Rhinolophus ferrumequinum: one gene and its partners. The protein of the gene in region 2 purifies or fractionates together with the protein of the main gene of each other region. This does not show direct contact. Links are inferred from orthologs where the notes say so. Each region holds a gene or a part of one and is shown on either strand. Other genes may lie near its edges. The genes, in order: UNC119, LCK and SH2D2A.

Region 1 (10,150 bases), on a different chromosome or scaffold from region 2:
GGGAGAAATCTTTATCAGGTCTTGGTAGTGGGAGTCATTGTGAATACTTCTGAATAACTGACTTGATTTGATCTTGTGGACACTGAATTATGCTATTCTTTGTTTCCCTCTTTGTTTAGGCTGTTAGGAAGCCTGGTAAATGATGTGGTTTTCAAAGAACATATTAGTGTTTTAACTTTAGCTTTGGCTTTGTTATTTTTTTCTACACTCATTTTCTCTCAGCCCTGATTTTGTCTCTTATATTTTGCCCTGTTGTAATTGTATCTTTTTAAGGCACCTCAAATCTTTTTGGGCACAAAGTGGAATATAAATTAGTAAACAAAATAACATCCTCCCTCTTTGCTCTCTAGATCCTTTACTATGCAGTGTTGGGAGTAAACCCTCGCTTTGACCCAGCCTCCTCCAGCTACTACTTGGCCGCACACAGCCTCCCCCATGTCATCAACCCGGTGGAGTCCCGGCTGGGTGAGCTCTGAGGATGAGGGTCTTTTCTGCCCTTCTGGGGACGGACCCTGAAGGCTCCGCGTGGCGTTGGAGGCGGGTTGCATATAGCGATGGTTTCCAGGTTGCGTTGGTCGGAGGCTGTCAAGGAAGTGCTAGGCATTTGGGCTCCTTTTCATGATACTCTGTTCACATCTCCATCGCCACACCGTCATATCCAAAAGCATTTATTAAACATGTTTCCCAGCACTTTTTATAAATGAATGGATAGGCTGTGTCTCCCTCCCTGTGAATCATCCAGGAAAAATATGGTCAGATCCATAGGAAAGACAACAGCAAAGGTACACGAAGGCAGAATTTGAGTTGACAATTCTGCTGATTGAGGTTAAGGAACTTTGAAGCTAGGATTCCAGTTTTTCATTTTTGGGTTGGTACCTAGGAAGAGTGGGTGTGACCAAGAACTGCCATACAGGCAAACCAAAATGAGTATATCACTAGCTGTGGAATTTAAGACATCAGGGCTAGGCCAGGGTGGACCAAGGGGTATGAGAGGGACAGCACATGAGGCCTTAGCAAGTTCCTTCCTTCTTTCTTTCCTTCCTTCCTTCTTTCCTTCCTCCCTCCCTCCCTTCCTTCCTTCCTTCCTCCCTTCCTTCCTTCCTTCCTGCCTGCCTCCCTCCCTTCCTTCCTTCTTTCTTTCCTTCCTTCCTTCCTTCTTTCCTTCCTCCCTCCTTTCCTTCCTGCCTTCCTCCCTTCCTTCTTTCCTTCCTCCCTCCCTCCCTCTCTCCCTTCCTCCCTTCCTTCCTTCTCCTCTCCTTCCCTCCCTCTATCCCTCCCTCCCTCATTCCCTCCCTCTGTCCCTCCCTCCCTCCGTCTCTCCCTTCCTCATTCATTCAGCAAAGTCTGAGGGACTGCTTTGTGGCAGTGCTGAGTACAGAGGTAAAAGGGCATTTCAGACAAGAGAACTGGGCCCAGAAGTGTAGTGTGGTTGAACTGTGACAGTGACCGAGATGCTGCTGGCCTGGCAGGTGGGCGCCAGATCAGAAAGGACCACGTTAAGGAGCTAGAACCTGGTATAAATGGCTAGCCATTGAAGGATATTAAGCAGGGAACTGACATGAGGTCACATTTATACTTGTGCATAAAAAGAGTTATAGTAATACGGGTGCAATGCGGCAGGGCCAGCAGAGCTGTCTCAGACAGGTAAGGGGGGCCTGTTAGAGGAGAGGAGATTCCAGGGGCATTTGGGGGCTAAATTCATGTATGTGGTACATCTTGGGAGAATGTTCAGAGATTCTTTGCCACCGAAACTCAGGAGTGGAGGATAGCCTAGTGATTATCAGCTGGGGAGAATGAGGTCCAGCGTGAGTGACCAGCCAGGTAGAGGCCGACCTGAAACGAAGATCTAGATCCAACATGTTTTGATGTTCTGACTCCCCTTCTCTTTGTACCACAGGATCCAGCGCTGCCTCCCTTTACCCTGTGCTCAACTTTCTGCTCTATGTACCTGAGCTTGCCCACTCCCCTCTGTACATTCAGGACAAGGACGGGGCTCCAGTGGCCACCAACGCTTTTCACAGCCCCCGCTGGGGCGGCATTATGGTAATAGTCACAATGCAGACCCAGAGCCCAAGCTCCAGGGACAGACACATATTCCCTGAGATTATTCTCCTGTCATTCCTCTGGTGTCCTCCGTGGCCTAGCCTGGGGAGAGGCAGGGCACCTACGAGGTGAGGGTGCTGTGAGCTGTGCCCCTCCTCGGCCAGCCCCACTGCTGCTGCTTTCGTCAGTATTTCTCTAATGACCCTTAAGCAGTTTGCACTTACGGAGGACCCTTCTGTGTACATCATAGATCTTGGCCCTATTTGTGGGAGTCTTGCAAGGCTGGAAACTTCGTCTGCCCTGTTAGACTGGAAGTTTCTCAAGGGTAGGAACTCTAAAATGGAATAAAATGACCTCTTTTACAGGACTTTTGAGTGGGTAATGGAGATCATTTATGGAACGCTCCTAATCGGTATTCAAATAATAGTAGTATACCGTCAGGTTTGTCACTTCTAAAGAGCACAGACTATATCTTCCTTTTCTCTCATGGCCTCCAGAGCGTACAGGGCAGAGCTGTACACGGTGTGACACTGAGGCCACCTCATTTCCTGTTGCAGGTGTACAACGTGGACCCCAAAGCCTACAATGCCTCGGAGCTGCCGGTGAAAGTTGAGGTGGACATAGTGCGTGTGATGGAGGTGTTCCTTGCTCAGTTGCGGTGAGGTCCTGGGTGATCCCCTTGGGGGCCTGGCCCCTGACCCTACCACAGTCTCCTGGGCTGACTGGAATGACATCTCACCTAGCAGAGAGACGTTGGCTCTGCCTAGAGCCCGAGGAAACCAAGAAAGGTTTTCCAGAATCACTTCATCCTCCTAAGAACTAGTTGCTGACAAAAACTGCTTGAAGAAAAATAGACTCATGAATGTCAGGGAGTGTGATTAGGGGTGCTTAAGAAAAGAGCTGTTAATTCTTGTGTCAGCTGCCTGATCCCCTATGTTGAGGATTGTATGGCTGTGTCTGAGCTCATCAGGAAAGAGGATTCTGATTGATTAGCAACGTCTGCTCTGGGTGCAGGATGGGAGAGACGCAGCACGTATGTCTTGTCAGAGGTGGTCCTGGATCATCGCTTAACTAAGGCTCTATTGGCCCTAGTTGTCCGAAGAGAGGGTAGACAGGGTGAGAGGGGATTAAACCATGTTGGTGTTATCAAAAATGTTTTAGCCATGGAATCTTTTGTCAAACAAGATCTTGGAAATCCAATATAGAAACAGGTAAAAGCTGAAATACTGGTTAAAGCAGGGCTTGGGCACTGGATTGCTTAGTGTTGCCACTTACTCCCCAAGACCCTAAAGTACTTCCCTAAACCCCTGTGGGTCTGGATAAGATTGGAAATCTTTGTGGTTTTTGTAGGAGTCTTAGTCATTCTTCCACCTCCTAGTCTCAGCCCCTTTGACTTGACTTCACTGTTCCTACAGGCTGCTCTTTGGGATTGCTCAGCCCCAGGTGCCTCCAAAATGCCTGTTTTCCGGGCCTCAGAGTGAAGGGCTCATGGCCTGGGAGCTAGACCGGCTGCTCTGGGCTCGGTCAGTGGAGAACCTGGCCACAGCCACCACCACTCTTACTTCCCTGGCCCAGCTTCTGGGCAAGATCAGCAACATTGTCATCAAGGACGATGTGGCATCTGAGGTAAGCGGGCCAGGGATGGAGTCTGTGGCCCAGGATTGGGGTGGCCAGGGTGTGGTGAAACAGGCCCGTTCAAGTCCAGGGTATGTGTGGGCATGCCAGCCTTGAATGTCCCAGGCTTCCTCTAGAGGGCAGTGCCAGCCCCTCTGCAGGAGTCCAGAGGGGGTGGTGGGGTGAGGTTTTAAGCAGGCACTCAGAAAATACACCATAACCCTGTTATACTGGCCTCCGTATATCCTGGGCGAGTTCCAGGCAACCTGTCTGCTAGATGGAAGACACGGTAAGGCCCATCACCCCGCACTCCGCTTCTCCAATGCCTCGGACTAATTGGTAATCCCCTGCCCCCTCCTAGGTGTACAAGGCTGTAGCTGCAGTCCAGAAGGCAGCGGAGGAGTTGGCCTCTGGGCATCTGGCCTCTGCCTTCGTTGCCAGCCAGGAAGCTGTGACGTCCTCAGAGCGTGCCTTTTTTGATCCATCCCTTCTCCACCTCCTCTATTTCCCTGATGACCAGAAGTTTGCCATCTACATCCCGCTCTTCCTGCCTATGGCTGTGCCCATCCTCCTGTCTCTGGTCAAGATCTTCCTGGAGACCCGCAAGTCCTGGAAAAAGCCCGAGAAGACAGACTGAGCAGGGCAGCATCTCAGTAGGAAGCCTTTCCTTCTGGCCAAGGCGGGAGCTGTTAGACTGAGGGGCCTGCCATGAATGACTCTTCCCAGCCTCCTCTGTTGCCTCTCCAGCAACCAAAATATAACACTCGAAGATGGGTTCATCTTCCCTTCCCTTTCCATTCTTCTGGCTCATGTGTCCCCACCCCCATCCTCACAAGACGTATCATCTGGGTCTCCTTACCTGGCTTGAACCTGAAGGCCCTTTTCTATCTCCCTCTGGGGCAGCGGCAGCTTGTGCTCTGCCCTGGTCCTCAGAGTCCTCTTGCACTGACAGGGAGCATTAGGGGAAAACCTAGGTTGGTCTCTAGCCCCTCCCCGCCACACTTCTCTGTGACCCCTCAGGGAGAGCCCTAGCTCTGCTCTCATGGAAGGAGCCAGGTACAGGTCACCTCCAGCCGCTTCTCCCTTACTCTCCTCCCTCCTGGCTAGCTACTCCTGTTGGGTACAGCCTGGTGCTGTGTGTGTGGTAGAGGTTCCCTTCCCCCTTTCATAGAGGCAGTGTGATGCAGTGGAGAAAGTTCTAGACTTGGGATCAAATATGCCTGAATTCAAATCCTTGCTTCTGCACTTGTCATCTGGGGAGCTTTGAATAAGCTACTTAATCTCTCTGAGCCTCAGTTTTTCATTTGTTAAAACAGCACTAATGATACCTCTCTTACAAGGTGGTTGTGAGGATTAAATGTGATAAGCATTTGAAAATGTCTGGCATATTCCAGGCTCTCAATAAACACTGAATGTGAATTGGTACTTACCTTTTGTTCTTTATTCATGTGTAAGCAGTGGTTTCCTAGCATCTGTCCTCCTGGGCTCACAGGTCCACCCTGCTTCCACCTGGCATGTGCCCTTCCTGCCTCCCTGTCCTGGGGACCCTGTGGTGGCTTAGACACCGAGGCGGTTGTCCCTCAGCATGTCCTGGTTTGCCCAGCGAGGCTGCTAACATCCAGTTCTGCTTTTTAGCGCAGAGTCTGGGAGAGAATAGCTTGTACCAGTGGAAGCCCTCAGATACTAACTCATTCACAAATGGAAAAAAAGAATATATTGAGCAAGGGCTGCAACAGGCACTGTGCGAGGTGCTGGGATATTATAGAGAACACATAGGATCCCTGCTTTCCCAGAACTGATCTTTTAGGGGGCAGAGTCGTGAACAAGTAAAACTAATTTCAGATAATGCATTAAAAAGGAAAAACAGGCTGATCAGATAGTGACTGGGGTTAGTCCTTTAGATTGGGTGTGAGGCGGAGCCTTTGAGCAAGTGACATTTGAGCTGAGACTAGGACAGGGTGGGGAAGAGCATCCCAGGAGAAGACCCTGAGATGCGAACTCGCTTGCGGGGCAGAGTGGCCAGAGCACAGAAGAGGTAGCCAGGACCCCTTGAAAAAAATGAATGAAGCCCAGAGCGAGCCCTCACCCTACGCAGGGTGACTACCCCAGGTCAGTGCGCCCGCAGCTTTTCAGCTGGGGTGGGCTGGCGGTGGGCGGGGCCAGGGGCGGGGCGGGGCGGTACCTGGGGCTCCGGCCGGGGGTGGGGCTGCGGACGCTCCCCCTTCTCCGCTCCAGCCGGCGCAGGCAGCGGCGGCGGCAGCAGGCGAGCCGCGGCCCCGCGAGGCCATGAAGGTGAAGAAGGGCGGCGGCGGGTCCGGGACGGGGGCGGAGCCCACTCCGGGGGCCTCGGGCCTGAGCGTGGAGCCCAAGCCCGACCCGCGGCCGCAGGCGGAATCCGAATCCGGGTCCGAGTCAGAACCGGAGGCAGGCCCGGGGCCCAGGCTGGGGCCGCTGCAGAGGAAGCAGACGATCGGGCCGGAGGACGTGCTAGGGCTGCAGCGGATCACCGGCGGTGAGCACCGGCGAGGGAGCGCCGCCCGCGGGAAGGAGGGGGCCGGCGCGGCGCGCGAAGCCCCGGCCCCCGCCCCCCTTCCCGCCCTCCCCCTGCCTCCCCTCCCCCACCGGGGTACCCTCGTCTGTGTCCCCTACCCTCTTGCCTCCAAGCCTGAGATCTCCATGTCCCCTCTTCCCCCGATCTCCTGTGCCCCTCCTTTAGTGATTTATTTCCACCCCGCTCATTTTTGAGGAGTCCATCCCTCTTTCTCGTGGTGGAGGTGGGGCAGCAGCTGCAACTGTGACCCTTTCCCCATGGAGTTTTCAGAGCCCTTTGAGGCCTTTCTCTGCAGTAACGAGGAGGGGCGCTGAGTGCAGTCTGTCCCCATTCCCCACCCTGGAGGCTAGGAGGAGGCTGAGTTACATTAAAACCCTTAGGTCTCTCTGACCGTTAATGCCCTCACCCTGGATCCCCCAGGAAGTTTGGGGCCATCTCCCTCCCCAAGAAAGGACCTGAGCAGGAATCTTCATTGAGTTGGCTCTGGGCCCTCTCAAGGGAGTGGGTTAATGCCCGCCTTAGCCTGGACTAGGGCCTGTCCCCTTCCAGGAGGCCTAGAAGGTCTCCACTGTGGTTGAGTTTCTGAGCTGGACTGCCTGGGTTGAAGTCCCAGCTTTGCCATGTAATTAGCTGTGTGACCTTGGGCAAGTTACTTCACCTCTCTGAACATGTTCATCTGTAAAATGGGGATAATGACACCTACCTTATAGAGCTACTGTGAAAATAAATTCTGATTATTGCACAGTGCCTGGCATGCTGTGCATGCTCTGTAAATAGGGCTCTTTTATGAGTAATACTGAAGGCCCCACAGGACTGTTCATGGCTGCTGCCTGGAAGCAGACAACTGGGCATTCAGGGCAGGAGAGGCGGTCAGCATCGTCAGGGAACAAGGACTGGGAAGCCTCATGGCAGAGGTGGTGGCTGAGCCTCAAAGAACAGAAAGCATTTGGAGAGGCAGTGGCTCTCTACCTTGGCCTCATTCATCAGTGACCCTGTCCTGGCTCCCTCTGTGAGAGCAACTCTTGGGGCCTCTCTGTGGGGGTGGGGGTGCTAGAGTAGACTTGAGCTCTGGAGCTGCAAGAGCAGCAGAGCCCAGGGCTGCCAGACAGAACCATGGAAGGGACCATGATGGCAGGGCTAGGCCTGTACATCTGGGTCTCTGGGGGACCAACTTCTCCCTCCTCTCTGAGCTAGGCAGCCGCCATTCTTGGCTGGGCCCCCAGAGTGTTGAGCTGCCTTGCCCAAGCAGACACGGGTAGGGGGAGGGGGCCTGGACCAGTCTAATGTTGGTGCCAGTTAGGCTGTAATTGTCAACAGCAGCATTTAGGATTCAGGTTAGCTCTGGGGCAGAACTTCCTTATAGGATATCTGGGGGTTAGGACAACCTATCCAGGTCCTAGGTCACTTTAGAGGTTATTTTGCAAATATGGGGAGTTCTAGCCGACATACCACCATATATTTCCTAATTTGGAGGAAATTCATAACCCTTAAAGATGGATATCTGTGGGTGGTGAATAGGGGAAGGGGTTTCATAGGAGCCCTTTCCTCTGTAGAAATTGAGAACAGGGTGCCAGAGCTTTCCACCCTGGCACCTCTTGGTCTCTTCTGACCCTAATCACATAGGTCTGAGGTTTGCTTCTCCTGGATTACTGGACCATGAATCCTGCTTTGGAAGCTATTTGTGGCAGAGGGGAAGGGAGCAGTTGTATTCTGAGCCCTTGGCTACTGCCCCTGGGTTCCAGGCCTTGTCCTTCCCTGGCAGAAGGGAGGGAGTGGCTGTGGTGTCCTGAGCCGTTGGCATCCCCCATTCCTCACTCCCTCTAAGGACAGAGGGATTGATAGGTTGAGTTTGCAGCAGAAGAGACTGAGGTCAGACTGCGAGAAGTTGTTTCCAAATGAGAGAAGCTCCAAAAGTTGGAGACTGGAGGGAGGGGGGCTTTACAGGGAGCTGGGATCCTGCCCCCGGTTCTGCCACCTCCTTTCCCTGTGCCCTGCACCTTCTTTCTACATCTTTGGACTGGTGTTTACTTTCTGTGAAAATAAGGGTGAAGTAGGGGCTGTCCGCTTCCGTTCCTACTGCCCTCTCCCTACCATGGGCTGTGGTGGACCCTCCAGGGCTCAGGCCTCTCCCCAAGCGCTATGTCATCCCTGCTGGACCCCAGGGTGCTAGGTGGCTGCCTGGAGGCCTTCCTGGAGGGGGTTGCCCCGGGCTTGGGGAAGAGAGAATGACTTTACATTTACTTCCTCTTCCTGCCCCAGAGGAATAGGAGGTGGCTTAGGGGCCTGGAGGGTGATTTCCGGGCCTCTATGGGGAGGATGTGAAGCTGTGCAGGCTGACAGCACCAGAGCCCCTCACTGCCTCTCTCTGCTCCTTCCTATTTGTTGCCAGGGCCTCCGTGACCACTTGCAGTTGCTGCTACAAAAGCAGTGAGGGTTGGCTCAGGCCCTCATATTCCTGGGCTTCCTCAGGTGGGGTTCACCACTGTTCCCGGTTCCCCTTCTGGGCACTGAGGACTCCCAGATACCCCTATGCACACCCCCTGTTGCACCTGCCACACCCTCTTCCTGTCCTCCCTGTACATATTCTCTCTGGGAGTGGCTCAGAGCCAAGGCTGGGTAGATGACCTTTCAAGGGGTTCCCTCTATTTGCTAAGACTTCCTCCCATTTGGAGATCAACGGGATGGGAACAAAGGTGGCCCCCTTCCCCCAATATTCCAGGCTCTGGGCTTGAGTCAGCAGAGCTTTGGCTAAGCGGCTTAAGGGAGCTGAGCTTGTATAAGCTGCTTATGGGGAGAGGAGGCGACTCGTGGGGAAGGGGGAAGAACAGGGTTGAGAAAGACCAGGGAAGGTGGAGTTCATCTGCTCCAGCGCTACCCAGGTCAGGGAACATCCTTGCCTGACATACCTAGAGGTAGCAGCAGGGGCTGCTATGTGGTAGGGTGGGGGTATCCTTCAGATAAGGACTGTGTCTCCTTAGGCTGAACTGTGTCACTCACCCCTTTTAGACTGAGGTTTCCAAAGGCAGGGCTGTATCTTCCCTCTCATGCTGGGGGCTCCCTATTATATTGAGACCTATTTGGCTCAAAGTCACCAAGCCAGCACTGGCAAAGCAGAGGCTGGAATAACGGCCTCCACTCCAGGGTAGGAGGGAAAATGTGGGGGAGGTGGCCTTCTCCTTCACCCTTCTCCATCCTGCCCCGCCCTGACCCCAGAGGCCACTAGGTGTAGCTGTTTCCTTCCCCATTAGATCTCAGGGACAGAGCTGTCTCCCCCACACTGTGGGGAGTTCCCCCAGGGCAGGAGCTCAATTCTTTCCGGAAGGCAGTGACCTTAGGGATCTGAGAAAGTAGTAGCTAGTCCAGAGTCCCACAAAAGCTGAGCTGGCAGCAGCCCCCTGTCTCCCCTAGACTACCTGTGCTCCCCCGAGGAGAATATCTACAAGATTGACTTCGTCAGGTTCAAGATTCGGGATATGGATTCAGGCACTGTCCTCTTTGAAATCAAAAAGCCTCCAGCCTCAGGTGAGTGGCCAGGTGGGCCATTGACAGGGGGTGGGTGAGAGCTGTGAAGTTGGCTGCCCAGGGACTCCTAAGGCTGCAGAGGAGTCAGTAGACCTGTGGGTTGGACCCCAGCATTCCCAGGAGTTGCCAGGCATGAGGGGTGCCTCTGCCTGGGGCTCAACCACCTTTTTCTTCCCATATTTTTCTGGAATTGGACATTTTAGGATAGTCCCGTCTCTTCAGTCTCTAGCTTGACCTCTGCAGGCCCCCCTGGGAACTGCAGTCCTGGAGGCCCCAGGCCTCTGTTTCTCCCGTGGCCCTGGGAATCTCAGTTGGAATTTTTGACCGGCTGACCGAGAACCCCCCCAGGTGGAACCATTCAGCCAAAAGTCTGAAGCCTCAATGTGCATCAGAATCTCCTGGGAGTTTTTTTAAAAATCT
Region 2 (9,596 bases):
CTGGGGCCCAGCAAAAAGACAGACTCCTGTAGTGTCAGGCTGAAAGAGCGCGGGCTCTGAAATGGACAGGAACTGGCTGGGCAGCTGGCGACGCCGGCAAGACAGCTGTTAAGGAGGCCCCTTGAAGGAAGAGATTGAACAGTATCACAGGAATTTCCCCTTCTTATTGCCAGCACCTCTTAGCGTGGACGCCAGTCAGAGCCTGTTAAGGAAACCTCAATTTTGTCATCTGTGAAATGGGGAGAATAATCTTGCTTAAGCCCTTGACCTCGCCTGATTTGCAGGAAGCACTCAATATTTTTTTTATTTTTTACACTGGGATGTTGACACTCCAGCTGATTTAAAAAGGAGAGAAAAATGCCATCTTTTCTCCTAGACCTGGTGGAAGGGGTGGAAAGTGTGGGCGTGAAACGTAACTGCCTACTTCCTCCCTATATCTGAGGCTGGTGGGGGAAAATCCCTTGGTCCACCTTAAATGCAAGCAGCTGTGTAGTCGGCTCCTTCCCCCTACCACAGCTGGAAGTCTCTGCCTGAGGGCGCCCTCTATAGGGGCCACTTCTGATTTAGTCCTGCCTTCTGGAGCCCCATGCTCTATCACTTCATCCTTTGAACACATATGAATTGCAGGTACACTGAGCTGGGTTCCATATTTGGTGTTGGAACCCAAAGGTGACTGAGGAGGGTTCTGTTCATAAGGTTTTCAGTTCTGGTAAATTACACGAGATTAAACCGATTTACTGGAGGACTCATCCATCTAATTCTTTCATTTCTTAAACACTGATGTCTACAGCTGTGTTAAGTGCTGATTACCATAAGAGGAAGAAGACCCACTCCTGCCTTCAAAGGGCCTTCTGGTCCACTAGGTTCCAAGCTCTTGTGTGTGTTGGGGAGCGGGGAAGGAGGCATGCAAAACCCTTCTTTCAAAAAAAAAAAATCATACATGGACCCTCATAATATAAACATAAAATTGGAACTACTCTATGAAAGGAACCAGATAATAGAGTACAAACTGTAAAATTCCAGACCAGCAGCACCAGCCGGGATGGGAATTGGTTAGAAGTGCAAATTATGAGGCCCACCCCTGACCCCACATATACTAAATAAGAAACTCTGGGAGTGGGGCTGACAGTATTTTTAAAGAAGTGTTCTAGGTGATTCCAATGCATGCTACAGATTGATAACCACTAGAAAGGTGTTTTTGTTTTTTTTTTTAAAGGCTAAACTAATCTATGCTGTTGGAAATTAGAGTAGTATTACTCTTCGGAGAGAAGTGACAGGCCAGGAGCACAAAGGCTGTACCAGCCTGGATGCTAGTAAAACAGAACTCTGCTGCTTGACCTGGGTGCTGGTTACATATGTGTGTTCAGTTTGGGAGAATTCATCAAGCCGTGTACTTATGATAGGTGAATTTTTCTGTGTGTATGTTATTTTTCAGTACAAAGTTTACAAAAGGGAACTGCTCTGGTTAAAGCCCTGGGAGAGGCCCTCCAGGAGAGGCAGGTCTAAGAGCCCATCCACAGCTCTGTCCTCACCCGGCACTGTCTCTGAGGGATTTCCAAGGGAACCTGAAGTTCCTTAGAGTACAGTTTGAAATCTTTGATCTGCCCCAACAGAGAGTCAGTGACTTGTCGAGACCCCACATCCAGCACCAGAACCCAAGTCTCCCGACTCCCAGGCCAGGACTCTGGCCACTATTCCTTTGCTGAAGGACCAATGCCATGAGTGACGATGGGGCCAGCTTGTCAGCCTTCTATCCCCTCCCCCACTCCCTTACTTGGGTGTTGGGAAAAGGGCCAAGACTCTGGTGTGGATGATGCTTTTCTTATCCTGCAGCAACTTCCTTTCTGGGAACTGGGTGTCTCCTTCTGGGCAAAGACAATAAAATTCATCCAAGGGGCTAGAGGATCAGGGCTCCTCCTGTCACCACCCAGATGGGCATCACGTGGCTCCAGGGTTACAGTCCAGGAAAATCCCAGCCCTTGCACACTCGGCCTCCCATACCCATCTACTCACCCACCCTGATACACTCAGCCTCTTCCAGCCACCTTGAGCATTCACTATCACACACACACACTCCCTGGCACACTTCTTTCAGCTTTTGCCACTTCTCCCTGAACAATATTGCCAGGCTTTCCCTAATTCCAGAGCTGTAGCCTTTTGTCACTTACCCCAAACCCACCATGTCCTTGGGGCCACTGAAATTCCAGGCAGTGGGTGAAGAAAAGGAGGATGAGGAGGAAGAGAGCCTAGACTCTGTGAAGGCGCTGACGGCTAAGCTGCAGCTGCAGACACGGCGGCCCTCATATCTGGAGTGGACAGCCCGGGTCCAGAGCCAGGCCTGGCGGAGGGCCCAAGCCAGATCTGGGCTGGGGGGACCTGGGGCCATCTGCGGCTTTGACTCAGTGGATTCTGCCCTTGAGTGGCTCCGACGAGAGCTGGTGAGTCTGGTGGGGTGGGCAGCCTTGCAGAGGGCCTTGGGATAGCACTTCTAAGGGCCCAAGACCACAGGTGAGGGGCAAAGATGAGAATGGACCCCACCTCCAGCAACTGCCCACTCCTATGGCTGTGTCTGGGGGCTGAGGAGCAGGAATGGATTTGTTCAGTGTTTTATTCAGGAGCCTTGCTGAAGGATTCCATTCAGTCTGCTGACCTTGTGCTTCTTTGGCTCAGGAGACAGTATAGATGGGAAAGGCATGGCCTCCCCTACTCTGGGAATTTGCTATATCCCAAAGACACTGTGAAGTACAAAATGAGGTCAGTACAAAATGAGCATGGTCAGTACCATGCTGTAGACAGAATCTGAGGAGGCAAAGATGAAATAGGTGGTTTTTACCCTAACATGTACAAATATAAAGATGTCCAGGCTCCATATTGGAGATTCCACTTAGTTATCTGGGATGGGGCCCCAGGAACGTGTTTAACAATGGCTCCTTGTCTTAGTTTTAGAACCATCGGTATGGAGCAAGAGCAGAGAGAGGGGAGGATCAAGCTGGGGTGAGAGGGGGTGTGGAGGACACATCCAGTGCAAGGCCCCAGGGTGTTGACAGGAAGGGAAGAACAGGGCTAGCAGCTGAGCGCTGGTGCAGCAGGCTAAAGGCCCCCTCTCTGCCACAGCAGGAGATGCAGGCTCAGGACCAGCAGCTGGCCGGGCAACTGCTTCACCTGCGGGCCCAGCTGCACCGGCTGAAGGTGGACCAAGCCTGTCACCTGCACCAAGAGCTGCTGGATGAGGCCCAGCTGGAGCTGGAGCTGGAGCCAGGGGCCGGCCTGGCCCTGCCCCCACCGCTGCGGCACCTCGGCCTCACACGCATGAACCTCAGTGCTCGGCGCTTCACCCTCTGCTGAGGGGTGCCTGTATGCCTCCTGGGCCACCCACTACCTCTTCCTCAGCCCACCTGGAAAGGGGGAAGCAAGGGGTGCCCCAGAGGCGCCAGCACCTGGTGAGGGAGGAGGGTTGATGGGTACACACTGGGCTCTGAGAGCATCCTGTCCCTGCTGCTGCCCCAGTTGTGTGTGTGTGTGTGTGTGTGTGTGTGTTAGGGGAGGAGCTCACAGACACCCACCAGGCTCCTCAATAAATGCCCTCTCTGCTTCCCATCAAGGTCTCCGCAGCCATTATTCAGGTTCAAGGTCGTCAAGTGTTATCTGTTGCTGGGACCAGGGATTCCGTTGCAAGAGAGAAGACCTGGGTTGGGGTGGAAATGAACTGATGGATCCTCATTTCCCCCACAGCTCCAGCTCTATGGCTCTATCTTATCAAGATCAGAACTGGGGAAAAACTTAAAATCCTAAATCACGTCCATGGAAGGTGACTTGGGTACGTGGGCAGCTGAAGAATGCAGAATCCGGTAGAACTGGACTCAAAGGCAGCTCCCCCATTTGTTTCTATCAGATTTGAGAAGGTCCCTTAATTCCTGAATCATTTCCTTTACCTCTAAAATGGCAGTGCTAATTCTCACTCCCCAAGTAGGTGGATGTTTCGTAAGTGGGAGAATGCACAGTAAGCACTCAGTAAATGTGAACTATCTGTTGCTTATCCTTACTATCAGCAGTGGTGTTATTACTATTGTGCTGAACCCAGAGATGGCCTGTGCCATGCTCAGGTTCATAGCTAGGGTTGCTGACGCCTGCAGCCCAGACTATGGGCTCTGTGTCACTGTAGTTGGGTTTTGTGTTTTTTTTCACTTTGTATCTCTCAGTCTTTGTTTCTGTGTTACCCTCTTTGTCTGACTTTCCAACTCAGGCTTCCTCTTCCCCCCACCCACTTCCTGTCTCCCCCTTCCCTCTGCAGCTGAGGTGCACACAGCATCAGCTTCCACCTCACAAACCCCAACAATGCTCTGTGGGCTCCCTTCCCCCAAACTGCTCACTCAGTGTAGGCTCAGGCAGTGGTGACGTGTTTATACTTTCCTCTGGGTGGGGTCAAGGCCCAGCTCTTGGGCCTGATAAAGGCCACCTGGAGCTCCTCATAACACTGATGACCTGGCCCTCAGACTATGATGGGTGCCACCCTCAGTGTGGCCTCCGGGTAAAGGGAGATTCTTGGCCTGCTTGCTGCTGTGACAAGGTTCCTGCCTGTAACAGAAAATGCTGCCAGTCTGCTGCTTGCATCTGGGTGCTTGAGAAGGAGTGTTTGTTCTAGCTTCCACCTGTTGCGGGAGGTGGTGCCAGGCTCTGCACCTCTAATAGGGTTGGTGGCCTTGCCACTACCTGAATTAGAATTGTTCCCCAACTCTCCAACCATCATTAGTGGGTGTCGTCCTGTCCTCTTAAAGACACAGCGTTATCCTGCCTTCTTCCTTAAACAGCTTGTTGTCCTGCATTCTGTCTATAACAGGAGTGTTAGCCTACCCTCTGACAATAATAAAGCTGTTGTCCTGTGCCCTGAGATGACATGGCTATTATTCCGACTATAGCAGCCATGTTAGCTTGATGTTTGAAACGTGGGTGTTCTGCTCTCCAACTACTTAACAGAGGTATTGTCCTCCCCTTTGCCCCTGAAATGATGTTACCTTTGCCCTCAGACTGTAATGAAAGGGTCCTTCAGCTCGCAGACTGTGACAACAGTGCTTCTTGCCTTTCACTGACAGCTGAGGGTGTGTCTGCGTGCCCTTGCTCATTGGGGTTTAAAGGCTGCCCTTGAATCTTTTGTCCAGGTGTATCCTGGAGGGCAGGAGGGAGGTTCCATCAAATATCCTCCCTTCACCTCCAAGTACCACCCTCAGGGTGAGCAGGGCCTGGCCTGGAGACGTACAGGACCCCCAGAGACTGAGGGTTGGGGGGCTATGGTGGCAGGAAGCTTGGGGTGCTAGAGGCTTGTGGTTGGGCTGCTGGGGCCCGGTTGACTGCGGAGCCCTCAGGAGGAGGCAGGAAGTCAGGGTGGGACGTGGGCGCGAGGAGTCAGGTGGTGGCTACGACGGTGAGGGGAGCTGAAACTCTGTCTGGGCAGCCAGGCTGGGCCAGGAGGACCATGTGAATGGGGCCAGAGGGCTCCTGGGCTGGGCAGGTAAGGAGTACCGGGACAGAGGTCCATGGGGCTGGTGGGGGCCTGATGGCAGGGGGCTGCAGCTGGGCACGGGGCCAGGCTCCTTGGGTATGCAGCAGCCCTTCAGTCTTGGGGTTGGGGGCACAGAAGAAACTTGCTGGAGGTCAGGTAGGAGGCATGCAGTGCAGCCAGATCAATTCTTTCCTCTGTAGCTGTTGGCTCTTGGTTCTGCCACAGGGCCGGCCATCCACCTCCACCTCACTGGGATATCTGGCACATGGCCTGTCGGGTATTGACAAAGCCTTCAGAAATCCCCAAGTCCAGTCCCTCATCCCATGGTGGATGAGCCTCCTGAGTCCCAGAGAGGGCAAAGGCACTCCCTCCCTGCTGTCCCTCAGCAAGGCAGTGGCAGAGCCCTGGGAAAGGGTGATGGTGTAGGCTATGACCCCCACTCCACCATGGAGCAGGGAGAGGAAAAGGCTTGAGTCAGGGGATCCAGGAATCCTTCTGGTTGCTGGGTCAGAGCCCAGGGACAAAAATCTCCTGAAAGAGATCAGAGTCACCCAGACCATCCAAATGGACACGTGTGAAGTGATTTTAGCCTCAGTGACCAGCACTGCTTGGGAGAGGGAGGTGTCTCCCGTTTGGAGCAGATGGAAATGCGAGGGCACATTTATCATCTGGAATGGGGCCTCCAGGGCGGAAGTATCTGACCGGAAGCTGGGAAGTCGGAGGGGAGAGAATGAGGGGAGAAGGTGAGAGGAAGGGCTATTTTTATCCAGGACAGGGATGCAGTTGGCCCTGGGCGAGGACCGTCTGAGCTCCCATCTGGAAAGCTGCCATCCCTACCCCTGCCAAGTGTCGCAGGATGTCCTCCCCTCTCCCCTCGCTCACTCCTGCTGCAGCCACACACACAGCTCCTACATGTGTAGGGCCAGTTGGTCCTGCGGATTATTCCTGCTTCAAACCCCAGGAAAGCATAGTCAGCTACCTGCCCACCCCCTCACTGTGCAACTCTCAGCCTTCAGTTTATGGGGAGAGTCCCCACCTGCACCAGACTTTCCAGGTTTCCCCTGCCATTGGAGTTTTTCTTGACACACAATTTCCACCTAGTCAGCACGTCCCAGCCTTCTCCTGTCCCCAGCTCCAAGGCCTGCAGACTTTTGTGGGGGCTGAGGAACACGCTGGCTCTTCCTGCACTTCAGGGGGGCTCATCCACACCCTGAACAGGCATGAGCAGGCCCCCTACCCCCATCCAGCCTATGCTTGTAGATGACTCAGGGCTCCTCATCCTTGGGGCTCAGGGAGAGTGGTTCTTCTCAAAGGGTAAAAGGGCCAAGTGATGGGCACGAAGACAGGCTGAGCATTAGAGGTTGGGAGAAGCCATCCCTTAGGTTACCTGGAAGGCTTCCTGGAAGAGTCAGCGCAGTTCTGAGAAGGACAAAGGTCCATTTTGGAAAGTTCCCAGGACATGAAGCCAAGGTCACTGTCCCTGGGTTCTGTTCTTTGGGTACCATGAGGTCAGAGACCTGCAAGCAAGATCAAATGCAAGAGTCAATGCAAAGAGCATGCGTTTCAGAGTCGGGCAGGCTAAGGTACTATTCCAGTTCTGCTATTTCCTTGAACGAGTGGCTTCACCTCCCCGAACTCCAGTTTACTTATCTGTATAGAAGCAATAATGAATTTCTCTCTTACAGAGTGCTTGTGGGTAATCAAAGAGATAATAATGACTGTGATGTGCCCTGTAATGGTCTAGGCTGTGACCCCCATGGAGCAGGGTGATGAACAGGCTTAAGTCAGGGGACCCAGGAATCTTTCTGACACATAGTAGTTGCTTGACAGAGGTTTGACACTCTCTCCTCCTGCAAGTAGTTTACCAAACGGAGGACTGTCCACACCCAGAATTACTCCTACTCAGCGCTTTGGGAGGCCAGTGAACCACCCATTCCCTCACACTTGTGCTGTGGCTTTGCAAATTAGCTTGTTTCCTGTGTATAATGGGTGTGAGAATTCTAGACCGGGCCACAGATCTACCTTAAAGGAGGGTCCCACACACAGTTACCATGTTTCCCCGAAAATAAGACCGACCCAGCTGGGCAATCAGCTCTAATGCATCTTTTGGAGCAAAAATTAATATAAGACTCGGTCTTATTTTACTATATTTATATTTTACTATACTTATAGTAAAATAAGAGCGGGTCTTTATAGTATAGTATAATATAATATAATATAATATAATATAATATAATGTAATATAGTATAATATATAATACCAGGTCTTATATTAATTTTTGCTCCAAGAGACGCATTAGAGCTGATGGTCCGGCTAGGTCTTATTTTTGGGGAAGCAGGGTATACACACGCACACATACACACCCTATCCCAAACACCATACATATTGTCAGTGGAAAATGTGTGTGTGTGTGTGTGTGTGTGTGTGTCTGTGTGTGTTTGCATGTATGTTCAGAGGCAGAGGCAGGGTCTACACATACAACACACACTGGACCCCACAAATCCATACACACACCCACAAGCTGATGGCTTCAAGGCCAAGCTTCATTCAGTGAAAGCAATGCTCAGAGAAGCTGAGTGTATGGGGGGCATGGGGACACGTAGGACCACAACAATATCCAGGGATGTGGCCTTCTCTAACAACCAAGTTCAGTGTTGGTTTTAAAGCATCTGGAGTTGCATTTCCAATGCTTGCTCTAAAGAATGTTATTTCCAGAGGTGCCTGGAAAGAAAAGGTTCTCGGGCCAAATCAACATGGCCTCAGCTACAAACTGTCTTGTATTAACTTCACAGTCAAGCTTGTGAAAGCTCTGAAAGTCCCTTCAGAAGGAGCCAGATTGATTTTATCTAACCCAATGTTTCCCAAACTTCCTTGGTCGCAGAACCTTTTTCCAGTAGTACCTCTTCCATGGTTACAGTTCTTGAGACAAGGAGAGGAATGGAAGGGCAGGCTATTGATCCTCCTCAAATGATCCTCTTCTGGCAGTGTTTGCATTGGTGGTGGTTTTATTGTTTTTTGCTTTTCAAGTACAAAATTAGCACACAGTTGTTTTTAAAACTTCAAACAGTATAGAGGCATATAAAGAAATACAAGAAATGCAGCTCCCTCCAATCTTACTTCTGGGATATGCTCACTATGAACAATTTGGTGAGCGTCCTTCCAGAATTTCTTATGTATGGCTACTGAAAAGCCTAGCGGTTAAGAACCTAGTCTCTGGAGACAGGCAGAACAAGGCTCAAATTGCCACTCCACCACTTATTTGTTTGTTATGAGGCCTCAGACAAATCGCTTTACCCCGTTTGAGCCTCAGTTTTTGCCTCTGCAAAATGGGGATAATAATAGCACTTACTTCATAGAATTATTATGAGAATTACATGAAACTATGCAAATAAAGGCTTTGCACAGAGCCCGGCTTAAAAGAATCCCCTATATATACATATTGAAATGCAAATAGGCTTATATTCTACATTCTGTTTTGTAACTTCTTACCCTGTTATGTCTGTGACATTTTTCCATGTCAATACATGGAGATCTACCCCATATTTTTAACAGTTTTAACTAGACTTCGTTAACTTGGTAAGTGAGTAATGGTGGTGATTTTGAGACGCTACTTCCTGGCAAGTATTGCTGTTTTGTGTTGTTAGTGTTAGTGTTGGAGTCAGACATTACTGATCAGTGAGCTAAAGTAAAGACAAGCATTATGGCTTCCTGTAAAAGAGTGCTCCGCCAGAGCGGCACCCACCTCTGTCAGAGGGCAGGATGAAGTGGACGGGAATCTTCTGTGTCCCCAGCGTTAGATCAGGGCTTGCCACATAAGAGGTACCCATTACATTTTCATCAATAGACTGGCCAATTAAGAAAATTGTGCTTCTTCTAGCTCACCAACAGAGGCCTAAGCCCAAAGTTCTGTCTCACAGTACAGCATTTCCCCAAATATGGCCTGTGTATCATTGATGAGGGTGAGTGATTTTAGGGGGTAATGAATGGACGTTTACAAATGTGAATTTTTGTATCATATTATGTGTTTATTTATTTATTTAAAAAATTTTATTGGGGAAGGGGAACAGGACTTTATTGGGAAACACTGTGTACTTCCAG
Region 3 (9,822 bases), on a different chromosome or scaffold from region 2:
ATGCCAGGATTCCATCAGTCTAGACTCTTCCCTACCCACTGGTTGGCACCCAGCTGCCCATCACCTGGCCAGTGCTGCTGGGACTTGCTCTCCCCATCCCCACCCCCAGCCCACCCCTGGTCCCTGAGGCTCCCCGATGCCCTTTCTGACCTCTGCACCGTCCACCGGGCACCGTGTACCTGCTGCTGTGTACATGGGGTTAGTGTCAGGAGCGCCCTAGGAGAACAGAAACCACGGTAGGTATTTGCACAGAGAGTATTGAATAGAAGAGACTGGCTGGACTAATGTGGGCGGGCTGAAAATCACAAAGGGAACATGGTCACGCAGAGATCACCGCAAGGAGAAGCCCCACCCCTAGGCTGGGAGAACAGGCAGGTGATTTGGGGGTTGTCAGCACCTGGACACTCAGGTAGGGCTCTCATAGAGGTGGGACCAGGTCCCAGAGGAGGTGGTGTTACCCAGCTGGTGCAGGAGGGACGTGGAAAAGAAGCAAATGAAGCAGCAAGGCCCCAACTGTGTCCCTCTGCGATGGAGAGCCCGCTGGAAACATGGTTTGATTTGCGGAGTTTCAGTCACGGCCTCACAGAGCACAGAAGGGAGGGATTAGAGCTGGGAGCAAACAGGCAAATGACCTGCAGCACGATCGTTATAGCACTGAAATGCACTGAGCACGGCTGCACCTGACACGCGCTCTCACACACGGAGCAGCCTGGGGGCTCCGTGATGATCCAACACTCTACACGAGGAAGTGAGAGAGTTTGCCCAAAGTCCCACAGCTAATAAACGACGGAGACGGGACCCAAAGAGCTTCGTCCCTTATGTCCCGCTGTCTGCAAGGTGCCCACACTGGGCTAAGGAGCTCTGGCAACAGGTGGACATGTGTGCTGTGGGGAGGGACTCTGGCTTGTGCAATTGTCAGCCCCAGCACCAAACTGCCTATAGCACGCTGGGACACACTGAGCCCTTCTCACAGTAGGACCTGCGGTGGGTGACGAGTCACAAAGGCGGGGCGAGAGCTGGGCTGAGCCCTGGAGGAATACCCCATGTGCTGGGCGCAGGCTCGCGGACAGGATGCGGCCCCCTCAGGAACTGTGCTAGGGCCACTGCTGCAACAGGACTGAGGTGACACTGGACCTCAGCACTGCCCTTCTCAAACCTTCAGTGGCTCCCTGGTGCCAACCAGCTAAAGACGAAGCTCCCACGCAGGCTGCCCCTCGGCCGCTCTCCAGCCCTCTGCCCTGCACACCCACACTGTCCCCAGAAGCCACCGCAGCTCTCAGCCTCCAGGTCGTCACTGCTCCTTCCACCCAGAATGGCCTCCATTCTCCTCCACCCCGAGGATCGCCTCCTCTCTGAAGCTTTCTTATTTTACAAAAGATCTTTATTAAAATATAGCTAACATATGCTATTATATGAGTTTCAGGGGTGCACCATAGTTATTCAACATTTCTATACCCAAAGAAGTGATTTCCATGACAAGGACAGCAACCATCGGACACCATCCACACTGTCACCGTATTGTTGACTAAAACGACTACAGTCATTTTAATTTTTCAGTTACAATTGACTTTCAGTATTATTGTATATTAATTTCAGGTATACAGCAGAGTGGATAGACATTTATATAATTTACGCAGTGATCCCCCGAATGAGTATAGTCCCCACCTGACACCACACGTAGTTGTCACCATATTATCGACTATTCCCTGTGCTGTACCCCACATCCCACGACTACTGTGTAACAGCCAATTGGTGCTTGCGAAGCCTTTCCTGACCTCTCTCCCCCAGACCCTTTTGTCCCAGGCAGGAGGACCACTCCTTCCTACACCCGCTGAACCCCATGCTTCTAGCTTAGCTCCTGTCATTCTGAATCGTCTAGGATTGTTTACCTGTGTATCTCCCCTACCCGCATGTCTTATTCTTGTAGTCCTTGACACGACCTCACACTCCAGCACATAACTGATTGTCAGTGGCTGCTCGATGAATGAATGATAGCAAACCAGCCAGGGCAGAGGGCAGAGAGGAAAAAGTACTGAACCAAATCTTAGGGTAAACCTACCTCCTAGTCTGCTTGAGCATTTGCTTCTCCTGGCCTCAGTTTAGCTCATCTGTCAAATGGAAAGTCCACTGCCAGGCTCACGGCAGGATGCCTGAGCTGGGACATCTGCCAGCCGATCTGCTTCCTCCTTCAGAGGCCGTGGGTGATGTTTGGGCTGCACGCGGGCAGTACCAGGAGCCCGCAACACTGGCTGCCATGACTCCCTCTCAGGCACAGCGTCTACACGCTGGACCATGCTGGACGAGAGAAGAGGGGACCTGTTGAGCCCCATCCCCTCTAGACCTCGAGTTCCAGCCCCCAGAGTCTATGAGGTGCCGACACCCTGAACATCTTCCTGTCCTGACCCCAAAGACGCCCCCTCAGCTTCACAGATGCCTCAGAACGCCTGGAGCTTCCCTTGCTCCTCTGGGGACCCTTGAGACCACCAGGATCCTCTCCACTTGTCCATGGTCTCCCCTCCTGGTGGCCTCCAAGCACCATGGGACCTGACCCTCAGGCCACCCAGAAGCCCCTCTGCAGCCTGTGCAAACTCCCAGCATCCAGTGTCCTCACAATCTCTCTGTACCCCTCTGGGCACTGCCCACTCCGGACACACGGCCACTGGCCGCCTGGCACGGGGACTCCCTACAACCCTCCTGCCACTGCTGCTCCTGCCAGCTCTCTCCTGGGTGGTGTTGGGATTCAGCCTGAGGAAACTTCTGGCAGCACACACGTCCCCAAATCACCCAGGCAGGGGAGAGGAGAAGGAAAGAAGTGGGGCGGCAAGGGGGTCCAACCCAAACCCCACCTGCTCTTCACATAGCCCCGAGGCATGGCCCTGTGCTTGGGGCGCCCTTTTCACCCTTGACTTCTAATCAAGTTCCAGCCCAGGTGCCTGGGGACTCCACGGCCTGGGCCCAGGCCTCCAGACAGGGACAGCGAGTGATTCCATTTTAAAAACGAAAACTGCTTCCGCTGCAATTATGACAAAGTGTATGGAGTACTGGGCATGGTTTCTAGAAGCGTGCGGAGCAGAGCGGGATTGCAGCCACACCGAGCCGCGCCTGGGCATCACGAGGCTGCACAGAGACGCTCCTGCCGCTGTGATCCATTCCAGGGCAGGTTACAGAGCAGCGGACAATCAGCGTGAGGGGTGGGGACCTAATTCCAAGCAGCACCAATCCCCTGTGTCTCCTTCGCAGCGGGATGGATGGAGACAGAGCCCGTTTCCGGGCTCCTCCCTGTCCAATAGGCAGAATCGCAAGGTGGGGTGACCAGGATTCTGGATTCTCTGCAGAATCTGGGCTGGGAAGGCGGCCCTGTGGGCTGCAGGGGCTGTGCAGTCCCTCCACGCCCTTCCTTTCTGCCTTTTCCCCTGTTCCCATCTCCCCCAACACCTCTGTAACCCAGGCCCAGCCCCAGTTACAGCTGGGGGGGTTGTTCTCTTCACTAATCCTCTTTCTTCAGTCTTTCAGAAAAACACTCGACCTCTACCTGGAAGGGGGCTATGTGATCTCACGGACCTGAAGCTCCCTTCTTGGGGAATAAGAACACATGTCTGTACAGGACACATGTCTGCCCTGCACTGTGGTGTGAGCGTTGACTTGCAGGTGTGGGACACACGTGTACATGTCCTGAGAGTCTCTTCGTCGACTCCTTATTTCCAAAGTCTTGCCACCTCCCTCAGAGCACTTTCCGTGCGGCCTGAGCTGACTGAAGTCCAAGGTGAAGTCCTAGGTCTTCACAGAGCACACCCTGAGCCTGTCTCTCTGTGTCCTGACCGTAATCCTGTCTCATCCCAAACAGCGCACAATGCAGGAGCCACGGAACCTGCTCCCTGAGTGAACACTGCGTCCAAAAGACGCAACCACTTCTAAGTCCCTTCCTGTGGCATAACCTTGACCAGTGGACAGTGGGAGGGAACAGGCAGCTGGGGAGGTAAGTCCCCTCCTTTCTCCCGCCTGTGGACTTCTTACTCCAAGGTGTGGTTCTACCTTGTACCCTGTCTGGACAAGGGCCCCTTTGCCAAGTGAACAAAGCCCATCAAGCAGCCATGGTGTCTGATTGCGGCTCATTTTGAAGTGGTAACCAAAGCAGCAATGTTCTTTTGCATGTTTTTCTTGGGTCACCCCTCTTTTCCTCGTCCTCCTCACCCTGAGCGTGTACCTCCCAAGGAGAGGGTCCCACTTGGATGCTTGCATTGGGACCTGCTAAGACACTTGCTAAGCTTGCCCTGCTGACTGGAAAAATGAGCTGGGTGCTTCCTCTGTCTAGTAGACAGTAGACGGCAGGGATTCCCACCAAGCTGGTTCTCCTCCCCTTCGGGGCGTATGGAAGAAGGCACACCCTTGACTCTAGAAATGAGCCCGGCCACGCGACCTGCTTTCACTACTGATGTGTTAGCAGAAGGAGCGCGTTTCATTCTGGCGGGGGAGGGCATTTAGGAAGCAGTGTGCCGTTCCTTGTGCCACTCTGTCCTGGGTGCAAGGCCGCACCCATCCAATCCGGGGGTGTCCCCTCCAGCTGCATGACCACCGGTGGCAGCCCTAGTGCCACTGTCCCAGCAGCTACCCTGCAGCACGCCATTTCTTCCGTGCATTTCACCCGTCTTCTAGAAACACCTTTCCCCGTCTTCCTCCACAGCACAGCTCAGTATCTTTTTCTGACACCCCAAGCCGCACACGCGCACCAGGGGCTCCCGGGGGCCCGCCCACACCACTAACTCCCCGCTGTGAGTATTCATGGGCACATCCATCCCGCCCCACACAATCTGAGACAAGATCCTTTTTCTCTCTGGGTTCTTTGCACCAAGAACAGTGCCTGGCACAGAGCATGGACCGTTGGCTGTCACGGCGCGAGAGATCTAGGTTTGGCTTCAACCCTTTCACCAACTTCTGAGACATGGACGGACCCTGGCCAAGGCGCCGCTCTGAGCTTCAGCTTTCCCTTCTGGAAAATGGGGATAATGTTCGCAGTCCCCTTCTCGTGTGTGAGCATCACAAGAGAGAGAAACTAGTCCTCTGGTGGCATTTAAGACCAGCACTGAATAAAGAACAACAAGGGCTAACAGTGGCCCAGCTACTAGGGGCCTGCCCAGCTGGAGGCCACCTCCCCCACCCCTCCCCCAGGATTGCTGGCTTTGCCCGCCCTGACTCAGCTCCTTATCTGCTGGAGGATGAAGGCAGGCCCCCTCCTTTCACCTCTCCTCTCAGATTTTATATGACCTCAGAATGTCATTCCAGAAGTCTGCCCGCACCCTTCCTGCTGCAGCACTGCCCGCTCCCCTCCTAGCTCTCCTCCTCAGGTGTCCTAAGAGGACAATCCTGAATATAAACCTCCAAGGATCCTGCAGCCCTGAGGCTGACCTCCCCACTGCCACTGCTCAGGGCAGAAGCAGAGAGAGAGGGGGAGTCCCGGTCTGCAGGGAGTGGACAGAGAATCGGGGAGCCAGGTCAGATGGCAGTTAGGACTCCCCAACAGCCAGGCACAGAGTGACACAAAAACCCACCACCACACCGCCACCACCTTTAGCTTCCTGGCTTCCGGGGGAGGGACCAGTGTCTTACGACTTTCCATGACGTGGGTCCTCTGCCAGGGCCAGGGCTGTGGGGAGGCGACATTTCCTGCCCTGGGGGCTGGGGTGACAAGCGAGTTGCTGAGTGTGCACACCTTGTGGGAACACACACACACGCCCTGCTCCCAGGCTCCTTCTGCACCCATGGAGTTCCCCCTGGCCCAGGGAGGCCCCCAAGGTACGTGTGACATTGAAGAATGTGTGTCGGGGGGGACAAGACCACCAGGTCCCTGCTCTCTCTCAGGGCCAGAGCCCCCAGTCAGAGGACGGGGCCCCACCCAGAGCTGGAGCTGGCAAGGCTGATTGCTGGTGCCCACAACCCCTCTTCCTTCTCTGGGGCTGCAGGTCCACTCAGCCCTGAGAACAAAGGTGACAGGGTCTGCTGTATGCTTCTTAGGGAGGAAGGAGGAGAGGGCAGGAGGGAAAGGGGAAGGCGCAGAACGCTGGGCCAGAGGAGGGCCTGCCTTCCCTCCCTGACTGTGGGACCGACTCCGGGCCACCGGAAGGCCAGTTGACATCTCAGATCCCCTTCGTGGTACCGTTTCCAGGACAAGCCTCTCTGCTGCCTCAGCCCTTCTGTGCCCCCTGGGCCCCTTACTCCTCTTCCCTGAGAAGTGCCCCATGTCCCACCTGCATTTCTCCTCCTGTCATAACCGTCCCTTTCCTCCAGGTCCCTGGTCACAGGCATGCAGGGCCCCTCTAAGCCTGCAGGGCATGGGGGACACGGAGACAGGCAGCCCCTCACTGAGAAGCCCCAGCTGTCCTCTTTCTGCTCACAGGGAACCGCAAAGCCCCCACGCCAACCTTCAGCACCTTTCAGCCCTTGGATGTCACCAGCAGGGGCTGCCAGGGCCTGGGGTTGCTTCCGAGGGCCAGGCTCCAGGCCCTGAAGGTCGAGGAGGCCCAGCCCAGCCCCAGAGCCCCTGCTGTCCACGCCTCGGTGAGTGGGGGCCTGGGCGTGCAGCAACTTCATCTGCCCTCAGCCCTCCCCTGGGGGAGCACTGGCAGATGGACAGGGGTGGGAGATGGCAGGGGTGATGTGGGGCACAGAGGGAGGGAAGGAGACAAGCTGGGAAGCTCAGGCTGAGTCCCAGGTGACCAGGGCACAGTGTCTGAGTCCGGAAGCAGCCATCTACGTCTTTGTTCACGGCCTTCGTTTGCCCAGCACACCCTGGTCTTCTGGCCCTGCCAGTGCCCCCTCCTAGGTGAGCGCTCCCTCATTCTGGCCTGGGGGGGTGACCTCCTGCGTCATTCCTCAGCCCAGGGAATGACCTTCTGGCCACTGGAAGGCCTCGCCACATTTAAGCACAGCCTGCCACTTGCTGCTGCTGGAGCAAAGGCCCAGGAGCAAAGCGGGGAGCAGAAGGCCTGCAGGGAAACCAGGACAGTTGGAGCTAAAGATGGGACTTAAGTTAGACCTTGGGAAGGGCTTCCTGGGCGATTCTACCCTAAAACAGTCAAGTAGGATGGGGGGTTGGGAGTTTCCACCCCACGCCCAGGAGGGGCTGGGGGTGAGGATGAGAAGATGGCCGCTGGCGTGGAGGCAGGTGCAGGCCCACTAGTCATGGCTCCTTTCCCTCCTGGAACTCTCCCCCTAACCAGGCATCTCCCCAGGCCCCAGGGGCTGCCGCCAGCCCAGAGGACACTGGAAAGGCTGACGAGGGGCCTAGGGAAGGAGACCAGCCCCTGCAGGCCGAGACCCGGGCTTGGTTCCAGAAGACCCAGGCCCACGGGTTCCTGCAGCATGGGGCAGCCCCTCCCTGGTTCCACGGCTTCATCACCCGGAGGTGAGTCACGGAGGAGGAAACAGGCCCAGAGAGGCCTGGGGACAAGTCCTGCGTCTCAGGAGTAGGTTGAGGCTACGAGTCCAGGTATATCTCCTCCTGGAGGCTCCCGGGGCCATTCACTAAGGCACCTCTCCTGGGGGAGATCGCGGAGAGGCTCCAGCCCAACCCCCTCAGTGCCTCGGTTTCCCTTCTCTAGGCTCAGTTATCCTCCCCTATCTAAGGCCTCGCTCCTCCTGGTCTCCGCCTGTGTCCCTCGGGCTCGCCCAGCCCTCTGCTCTCTCTTCCCTCCCTTGCAGTTCCTCAGTTTGTTTCTCCTGTTCCTGTGTTTGCCTGCTCTGTTCCGCTTGTAACGTGTGACATCTAAAAGTCTATTGCCATCCCTGGTGCTGCGCGGCCCTTCCAGGACAAGGCCAGGATGCAGGGCTGGAAGCTGTCCTGGGGGGCCCACATCCCCTCTCCCACCTCCACTCTTCTCTAGCCACTTCAGCCTGCTTGGTTGGGGGTAAGGGTCCCCCATGAGAGCTGGGAGACAGCAGAGGCTGGAAGAGTCAGAGCAGCGCTGTCTCTTCTCCACACACAGGGAAGCCGAAAGGCTGCTGGAGACCAGGCCGCAGGGGTGCTACTTGGTGCGGTTCAGCGAGAGCGCCGTGACCTTTGTGCTGACTTACAGGTGAGGGGCGGGGCGTCCCGCTAATCCGAGGGGCTGAACTTGTCGACCCCTCTTTGCTCCGCCCCCCTTCTCCCCACTCCCCACCCCTGCTACTGAGAGTGGGACACCCTGGCACAGGGCGGGTGGCGCTGGCCGGGGAAAGGGAGCGGGTCGCATCCCTGGTCGCATCCGGACTGGCGCCCTCCAGGAGCCGGACTTGCTGCCGCCACTTCCTGCTGGCCCAGCTTGAGGACGGGCGCCACGTGGTGCTGGGTGAGGACAGCGCCCACACGCGGCTGCAGGACCTGCTGCTGCACTACACCACGTGCCCGCTCAGCCCGTATGGGGAGACGCTCAGCCAGCCCCTCGCCCGGCAGGTATGAGCCACCCCCTGACACCGCCCTGACTCTCAGCCGGGGACCTAGGCCGTGCCCCTCCTCACGCAGAGCTCAGGCCGCAGGACAAGGCCCTTTCTCCTCACAACAGATTACCCAGCCATGCCTCTTGCCCACACGTCTGGGCCGGAAGCCCTTCCAGAAAGATGCACGCTCGGGGAGGGGCATTAAGAAACCATCCCCGCCGCACAGAGCCACCAGGGGCTGAGAGTGAGAGTGCCCAGACAGGCGCATGGGTCATTTGTTGTTTATATTAAAAGCTGTTTACCGAGTGCCCGCATGTACCAGATGCTGGCAGGCCCTGGAAAAAGAGCCAGAGACAAGACAGCCGGGTCCCAAACCCACAAAGAGTGGCCATCAAGTGTGAGGGTGATGGGAGGAAATAGAGAGTAGGATGCCGCCACTTACCTGGCAGGCAGCCATGTCTCCTGGAGGAAGTTCAGGCAGGACCACTCTATGCCAGCAACCGTCTGGGCACTGGGTAAACAGAAGGAAACCAAAATATCCCTGCCTTCATGGAGCTTACATTCTGATGAGAGGAGACAGACAACAAATACATAATATAGAGAACACATAATCCGTCCAGTAATAAGTGCTGGGAAGAAACACCAAGCTGTGACAGGGAGTGACGGGTTTGGGGCTCTTCTACATGGAGACATCAGGGAAGGCTGCTCTGGTAAGGGGACATTTGAATGGAGGCCTGAATGAATGAAGGGAGGGAGTCACAGCAGACAACTAAAGGAAAAGCCTCCTAGGCAGAAGGAACAGCAGGTGCAAAGGCCCTGAGGTAGGAGGATGCTTGATGTGTCTGAAGAAGAGTGAGAGCAGGGAGGAAGCTAGCATGGGTGGTGAGGTGGGAGATGAGGTCAGAGAGGTGAAGGGAGGGGGCCCTATGGACTCTTGTGTGGATTTGGGATTTTATTCTGAGCTAAAGACTTCTCAAGCCTGTTGCATTTTTACAACCACCGGCACAAATAGAGACTGGCCTGCCCTGTGTTTCAGAAGAAATTAAGTTTGACGCTTGATATCGCCCGTGACCCCAGCCCCGCCCTCTCCCTGGTATCCTTGCCATCTCCATCCCAGTTCCTCACCCAGGGGACCCAGGGCACGCCACATTCCTGTGCCCTTCCCCCACCCCGCTCCCACCCAGACCCTGTTATTCTGCCCTCCTGGATCACCTGCCCACCCCACGGCCACCCCTCCCACCGCGCACCAAGTTCCTCTGGCCTCCTTCTTTCCCAGCAGACTCCTGAGCCAACAGGACTTTCGCTAAGGACTGAAGAATCAGACTCGGGAAGCAAAAGCCAGGACTCACGCACCCAGTATAGCCCGATCCTCAAAAAGGAGCAGCCCGCAGCCCCCACACAAAAAGAAGGGGC

What was found.
Region 1: the proteins of LCK (region 2) and UNC119 purify together in Homo sapiens (affinity purification with western blotting; 3 studies listed by BioGRID and IntAct, with this or other methods). This does not show direct contact. The link is inferred for Rhinolophus ferrumequinum from reciprocal best matches to the Homo sapiens genes LCK and UNC119.
Region 3: the proteins of LCK (region 2) and SH2D2A purify together in Homo sapiens (co-immunoprecipitation; 3 studies listed by IntAct, with this or other methods). This does not show direct contact. The link is inferred for Rhinolophus ferrumequinum from reciprocal best matches to the Homo sapiens genes LCK and SH2D2A.

Annotation. Positions count from the first base shown.
Region 1 is NC_046304.1:18,869,475-18,879,624, forward strand, and holds the start of UNC119 (protein unc-119 homolog A), read left to right. Parts: upstream 1-5,872; 5' UTR 5,873-5,943; coding exon 5,944-6,169; intron 6,170-9,616; coding exon 9,617-9,730; intron 9,731-10,150. Other genes in the region: PIGS (GPI transamidase component PIG-S), read left to right, coding at 351-465, 1,898-2,043, 2,601-2,701, 3,459-3,669, 4,019-4,294. UniProt on the Homo sapiens protein: Involved in synaptic functions in photoreceptor cells, the signal transduction in immune cells as a Src family kinase activator, endosome recycling, the uptake of bacteria and endocytosis, protein trafficking in sensory neurons and as lipid-binding chaperone with specificity for a diverse subset of myristoylated proteins.
Region 2 is NC_046292.1:22,134,148-22,143,743, forward strand, and holds the start of LCK (tyrosine-protein kinase Lck), read left to right. Parts: upstream 1-5,380; 5' UTR 5,381-5,506; intron 5,507-9,596. Other genes in the region: protein FAM167B, read left to right, coding at 2,181-2,438, 3,115-3,345. UniProt on the Homo sapiens protein: Non-receptor tyrosine-protein kinase that plays an essential role in the selection and maturation of developing T-cells in the thymus and in the function of mature T-cells. Plays a key role in T-cell antigen receptor (TCR)-linked signal transduction pathways.
Region 3 is NC_046305.1:1,170,210-1,180,031, reverse strand, and holds the start of SH2D2A (SH2 domain-containing protein 2A), read left to right. Parts: upstream 1-5,671; 5' UTR 5,672-5,756; coding exon 5,757-5,790; intron 5,791-6,391; coding exon 6,392-6,552; intron 6,553-7,214; coding exon 7,215-7,399; intron 7,400-7,979; coding exon 7,980-8,069; intron 8,070-8,256; coding exon 8,257-8,425; intron 8,426-9,685; coding exon 9,686-9,822. UniProt on the Homo sapiens protein: Could be a T-cell-specific adapter protein involved in the control of T-cell activation. May play a role in the CD4-p56-LCK-dependent signal transduction pathway. Could also play an important role in normal and pathological angiogenesis.